2 separate regions of the Mus musculus genome follow, and region 2 is reported to be linked to region 1. Evidence: microRNA targets listed by miRTarBase, many of them from high-throughput screens and not tested one by one. Region 1 holds a microRNA gene; the other region holds the end of a gene's coding sequence.

The links. Region 1 holds the annotated microRNA mmu-miR-140-5p (CAGUGGUUUUACCCUAUGGUAG, at 1,130-1,151, opposite strand). A microRNA usually pairs through its seed, bases 2 to 8, with sites in the 3' UTR of a target mRNA and lowers its output. Matches are read on the target gene's strand: a 7mer-m8 pairs with bases 2 to 8, a 7mer-A1 pairs with bases 2 to 7 and ends in A, and an 8mer does both.
Region 2: the mRNA of Zfand1 is a reported target of mmu-miR-140-5p. Seed matches in the 3' UTR shown: 8mer at 2,592-2,599.

What each region holds. Positions count from the first base shown.
Region 1 is chr8:107,548,997-107,552,399 of GRCm38, reverse strand. It overlaps Mir140 (microRNA 140), which reads right to left and starts at 1,156; the gene lies at 1,087-1,156. It overlaps Wwp2 (WW domain containing E3 ubiquitin protein ligase 2), which reads right to left. Exons shown (of 24, transcript NM_025830.4): 13 at 3,243-3,371; 14 at 2,865-2,940; 15 at 2,548-2,619; 16 at 2,265-2,353; 17 at 1-123.
Region 2 is chr3:10,338,096-10,341,498 of GRCm38, forward strand. It overlaps Zfand1 (zinc finger, AN1-type domain 1), which reads right to left. Exons shown (of 8, transcript NM_025512.3): 7 at 2,899-3,054; 8 at 1,861-2,810. The coding sequence ends at 2,640. Among named protein-coding and RNA genes, the nearest start is that of Slc10a5, 4.1 kb to the left of the region's middle.

The DNA of each region.
Region 1 (3,403 bases):
AGGTGGTCAGGGTTGATGGAAGAGGCCGGGTTGATCTGCAGGCAGTAATTGTTCTTCCCAGCATATTCAAACAAACAGTACATAGGGTTGAGCACCTCATGGGACAGGAGGAAAAACCACTCTCTGTGAGGGAAGAGAGGACAGGACAATGGGACCCTCTGCACAGCAGCTGGGGTTCTGCTGGGTCAGAGCACCTGAATGCACGTGCCTGGGGGGATCAGTGAGCCAGCTCATCCCAGGTCTTGGGTGAAGAGGACAGCACCTGAAGTTTGTGCTCAGGAAAGCCCGTGTGTGTGCCTCTCAGCCCCCTGGGCACAGTTATGCTACAATATCTAGAGCACTGGATGGCAAAGCGGCTCCTCACCCCCAGGGCCACCATGCCTCACTGTGCGGGCTGTGCACCATATACAAAGGTAACATTTTAAAGCACTGTGGGCTGTGCTGGCACGGAGGCTCGGCAGGTAAAGGCTCTTGCTTCCAAGCCTGACAACCAAGTGTAATCCCTAGAACCCACTTGGCATACGATGAGAACTGAATCCTGGGAGTTGTCCTCTGACCGCCACACATGGTATACGATCCATGAGAACCCCTAAACACCTATGCCCCCAAATAAATAAATAAATAGATAAATAAATGTACTACAACAACATTTCTGCTCTATGACAGTAAGCGCCCCGCTCCACCCCATTTGGTATGCAGTGCAATGTAAAGAATACACAGTAGCATTTTCCCAAAAGCTGAACCTTGAAAGTTCTGTGACTCATTTGGCCTCTAGACACCTCATCCCTTCAGGGTACCCCATAGGTACCTCACTTGTAGGTTTCCCTCCCTTCACCCTAGAACCCATTAGCATACCCTAACCCAGATTTGGATCCATTTATCTCAACCAACACCCACCCAATAGACGCCTTAGCATCTATCTGCACCCTACATATAAGCCTCAAGCCAGAATTCAGGGTCCTTCAGAGCTTGAGCTAAACAATTGGGGAACAATCGGGGAATCGTAGTCAAGGGGGGCCAGCCCCTGGCTGCTGGGCTTTGTGGCTGTGTAGATGGAGTCCTTCGATGCAGAGGGTGCTCCAGTACCCTGTCCGTGGTTCTACCCTGTGGTAGAACAGCATGACGTAACCTACCATAGGGTAAAACCACTGGCAGGACACAGAGAGAGACACACAGGGCGGGAGCCACACCAGATGCCCACCAAGCACAGCCTGGAGAGGTCACACCGAAAACAGAACAACTCATCTGCAGGATGGGATGAACACAGAAGACTACACCACCAGCAAGCAGGGTCAACACAGAAGACTACACCACCAGCAAGCAGGGTCAGAGGCGGGGAGCCCAACTAAGTCAGATGACAGCCCCACACCACAAGGTCAGCAGGATGAGAGGTCACCACAGCCAAGAAGCCCCTTCCCACTGCTAGGACTCTCTGCCTGTTGTCCACGGCAATGCTTTTCCAAAGAGCCTGTTAACTTTTGTAGGGTGAAGGTAACACAGTGCTCTGGGTTCTTTTAGGGTTTATACCAACTGTTTTAATGTTATTGACTGGTACACAGGACATGCAGCAGGAGTGGCAATGCTTAGACATACCAGATGTGCTCTGAGAAATCTGACTTAACCTGCTCTGGCTGCATCACATAGAAGGAAAGCCAGGGGCTGATTTTACGGGACACTTGCAGACCTTACAAGCTAGCCTCTGCCCATTGATACAACGCCAAGTTGTTTTTAACTATAGAAAAATGGCATGTAGGCTGGCATAGAACCACACACCATGCCCCCTCCCCAAGAAGTCTCTTGCATCCCCATAATCTAATAATGGAAAGGGCTGAGGCCTGGACCTGATTTGTAGCTTACTGATATTAGCCAGAGAAATTTATGAAGGGATTTTCTTCTTCGTTTTGGGAACAGGGTCTCCTGAGACTCGTGATGGCATCAAACTCACCACGTAGCCAAGGACAACCCTGAACTCCTATCCTTCTGCTTCTGTTTCTCAAGTGCTACAGCTACAGGTGTGAGCTCCTGTGCCTGGTTTATGTGGTGCTGGAGAACAAACCCAGGGCCTGCAGGGTAAAAAAGCATCCTGTCTTAACTGAGCTACACCCACAGCCCAAGAGATTCCTGTGAGTGCCACGCCAGTGCCCTTCCTGTTGATACAGGAGAACTCAGGGAAAGAATAGCATCGAGGAGAGAGCTTTCTCAACGTGGGCCCTGAAGCCAGGGGACATGGGTTAGAGTACAGCGCTTTGGGCACCCTGGCTCACCTGGCGATGCCGCCGTAGTCCAGGCCCTCCTCACCACGCATGATGATGTAGAGCCGGCGGCGCAGGTCGTAAGGTTTCATGTTCATAATCTGGGGAGACAGGGCATCCGGCCATCCTGCCCCTGACCCCAGCACAGAAGGCAGGGATGTGGGGGCAGGGGACTCTATCTAAGGCTTACTGTCTAACAGATATGGTCACCAACGCTTATGCCATGAGACAGGATTTTGGGTGATGGGAGGAAGCCTGCTTGCCTAGGATCCTGGCATCAGGAATATTCTCTAACCTGTTGGAAAGAATCCTCAAAGAGTGTCTGCCTGGAAACGCTGATCTTCACATGGCTGGGTAGAGCATTTGACTGAAAAGAAAAGGAAAATTCTTAACTGGGGCTTCCCAAGGGTGCCCACTCCAAGGGCTCTTCCATCTGCGATGACACAGCCCCACCCCCCAGGGTTAGAAGCCTACTCCTTCAAGACAAACATCTCAGAGTGGGGCAAGCATCTTGCTCCTACCTAAGGCACCCCCCAAAACAGTGGGTCGGGAGACCAACCCGACAGCAATTACCAGCCCTACTCCCACAGAAGCCGCCAAACCAGAACTCACGTGGCAGAGGAAACGGAACTGGTGATACTTCCACCGAAAACTTCGGTCATAGGCACCAGGTGAGCCTTGCTTTGTCCTGGCGAGAGCAAAGGATATGTAGGGACCGATTGATTTCTTAGAAAATAAACAGCCCATTTCTGAGAGCCCTAGGGAAAGTGGATGCTCTGCTCCATGAATTTAAAGAGGAGTAGATTAGAGCAAGACACAGGAAGGGACTGACACTGAGACTCAAAGACGTGGGAACAGTGCCCTACAGTCAGTTACTAGAGGGCAGTGGTTAGAACACACACACACATATAGATCCCTCTTCCCCGGGTAGCCTAACAGGACGACTGGGGCTGCACTAGGGGACAAGGCTGTGGTTGTAAAGGTCCTTACCCTGACTCGAACCCTGGGCGAGGATCCTTAAAGGTAGTGGTGCGGGTATTGTGGTCCACAAAGTACCGCACGCCCTCGCTGGTGTATTTCATCTCCCACCCTGGGGGCAGGGCTGGCTCCTGTATCATCCTGAAAACAGAAGAGGGGTTATTGGCTGCCCT
Region 2 (3,403 bases), not on the chromosome of region 1:
GTGTTTTTGTTTTTTCTTTCAGTTTTTGTTTCCTAACCCATCTTCTGAAGACTTCAGAACAAAAAACCTGATGAATGTAGATAAGACGAATCCTATTATCCAGTTTTCTCATGCATTTTCTGTTCTTTAGACTGGTGATCGTTAGTATCAAAGCATTGTTTCAACGGTTCACCCACACTCCTCTCCTATGCTGCATGGCTTCCCTTGCAGCACGTGAACACCAAGTAAGATAGGGACACTGTAAGCCTACCATTTCATTAGGCAACTTAATGTGAACCTGAGATTTCTGCCCTTCAGAGTGTTTATTTGGACATAGGGAGGTAGGGGACTGAGATTCCACCCACACCTTGTTCTCTTTAGATTATTAACCTGCCAATGCTTAGTGCCAAGGATGCTCGCTCATCCTGACGTCCTCCAGCCCCGTGGGCTCCATCCCTAGGACGGGCCTAGCTTATGGACTGTGTACTCACTGTCGTAGGTTCCTCTCTGGATAGACTTGTCTCTCATCTGCTCACTGGGAAAAGACATTTTTCATCCTTTCTAGGTGTCAATTCCAGTCAGCCTCGGTTGTGAGTAGCCCTGGCGCTATTTGAAATCTGATGTTAATTTAACTAATCTAAGAGGGGCTGTCTGGAGGAGTGAATCACGTATCCAGGACTTCATGTGACCTTTCTAATCACTGGGTGAGTAGGCGGGACTTCTGGGTAAGAGGCAGAAGAGAGATAGGGGCTTTTGATCAGGGAGAGTGGGAGGCAAGATGCAGCTACAAGTGACCCCTGGAGGATTTAGAATTAATACGGCTAACAAGATTAGGATGCTAGTTGTTGCGCCCAGTGATTGAGTTAGCATTGATTCTGAACTAAGTTTGTGTGGTGTTTTCCTTCACAAGGTGGCTCAACTGGGTTCCAGAGAGAAAGATATGGCAGCAAAGTGTGGCTTTGCGAGAAGTGCACCCCAAAAAGGCTATGGGAATTTTCAAGTGTGGGGCTGGCGTGGTATTAACCCACCAGTGGGAACTTAGCAAGCTGGATGGAGAGATTTCGGAGCTCTGAGGCAGAGTCTCCACGAGATGAGAACAGGCCAGCCATGCCTGCCTGTGCCAGGCCTGCCAGCCCTCCAGGGCCTGCTGGTGTAGTGTGAATTGAATTTTTTAATACTTCCTGAAACAAGCCTCGCCTGCCATCTTCTCAGTAGGTATTATTTTTCTGGCATATTCAATTTTCATTCAATTAGAGGTGCTGGCCACCTACTAGGTCCAAAATGGAGATTAAAGTACTGCTTGGTATTAAAACTTCTGGTATCTCAAAAAAAAAAAAAAAGAAAAAAAGAAAGAAAGAAAGTAAGTTCCAGGACAGCCAGGGCTTTACAGAGAAATTGTGTCTCGAAAAATTAAAAAAAAAAAAAAAAAAAAAAGGTGATTTCTAACTCTAGTTTGATAGTTTCCAATAAAACAGCTCTTGTAACATGGCTATACTGCCTATTCACTTATCTGCAACTTGCCTTACAACTCTGTCTGCTAGTTCCAAGTTTATCTTCTGCCTAAGTGTGGCTTCTTGTGCCCACATTGGCAATCAGACACTTTTGTTTTAAGTAGGCACACAGGTAACTATAAAGGAATGAATTTAGAGTCTGATAAAAGCAAGAAATTATCACTGTTTATGGTCTGAACATGAAAAGATGGAGCTGACAAAGACCAAATGAGCATGCTCAGCTTACTCTTTAATTAACCTACTGCTCCCTCCCACAGTGTATGTAGGCCTTCATCTAGTGTGGACAGAAGACACTCATTCTCCTCAGGTGTAGACAGAAGGCATTCCCCAAGAGGACTTATTTCAACTTATAGATCAAATGCAATAATTGTCTCGCTTTGTTACAGGAAGCATAGACTGTAACAAAATCAGTTTATTCGAGTGAAGTTCTCATTTGTAATACATTCACACACACAAAAAGTTGAATCCTACTAGAGAAAACTCCTTACCAGAAACATATCCAGTGCAATTACATGATACCAAAAAAATTACGTTCCCTTCTTAGGTATGTGGTGTCTTATCACACACCTTATCCTGGAAGACTGAATGAGAGGATCTGCAAGAGTCTGCAATTCATGCGTCATGATTTAGGTATCCAGTAAGGCTATGTATTCTGGACATAATATGAGGTTTAATCATAGGACTTCCTTTAAATAATATTGGTAAGTACCACTTGTACGACCCCTCCAAAGAGTCTGCCATCTGCAGCTTCCTCTGCCGTAGAATGGCAAAATCACAAAAAGGTGGGTGTTGTGTGAGCGGGATCTCGGAGGGAAGGCAGTACAGGCTGTGACACAGCAGCCAGTCAATGGCTGCCATTAGTCTACCAGGAAAGACACTTTTGCTGATATTTCTACAGCCTAACCCAGAAACAGCTAATAAAATACTTCGCCAGTAATTGTCAACACATAATTAAACACCAACATGGAACCTAGTAGAAAACTACTGGTGTAAATTAGGACCTAATGGAAATAAATTCTAAGACAGCAACTTTGAGAGTTTTAAAAAAGTATCTGTAGTAAAACAAACAAAACAAACACAACAAAGCTGACTGTCTACTGATAGTGGTTTCTGCTTATAAGGATTCTGCTGGCTTGAATCCTTGAATGACTATTCCAAGTAAGAGTCAACATTTTTTAAAAACTGTTCTTCATCGTTAAGATATTCCAAGATAACATTTCCTCCATTATATAAAGGGCACTCCTCCTTCGTGATCCACCTTTCCAATGTGTGATCCAATGGCAGGGCTTCTCCTGAAGGGACATGACACAGCCTCAGCTTCTGGTGAGAGAGAGAGAAGGCGCACAGGGTGAGGCCCACTTGCAGACATATCCCAACACTTGAAGGAAAAGGGGTCACCGGACATTACCTTCGCTGTCAGCTTGTTGTTTTCATTCCTGAGATTAGCGAGAGAAGCTGCAAAGTCCACAACCTTCCCGATGCTCCACCGCAGGCAAAAGAACATGGCTTTGCTTTTTTCCTTGCTCCCCTTTGGCAAGTAGACCTGGAAGTATGTTCTTTCTGTCTGTGTAATTAAAAGTTACCATACAGATCAGACACACGCGAGAGGAGGCATTCCTTATTCAGCTAGCGGTTCCTTAACTCTTCTTTTGTCAACACAGAATAGCCTATGACGTCAGTTCTGGTCAGAAGAACCCATCATGTAGCCTACCTACCTAACTGCACGTCCCAAAGACTCAAAACCCTAGCCAGGTTATCTGCATAACCAAGTTGTACGGCCTTTTTATGTCCAGGGACTGGGTGCAGAGGAACTCTTTTTTTCTTTGTTGAGTTCCAGAGACTCAGACTTGGACCACAGGCTTCCCTCATATCTCCCCTGCATTCCCAAGTTAAGAATGAGTTCAACATGAACA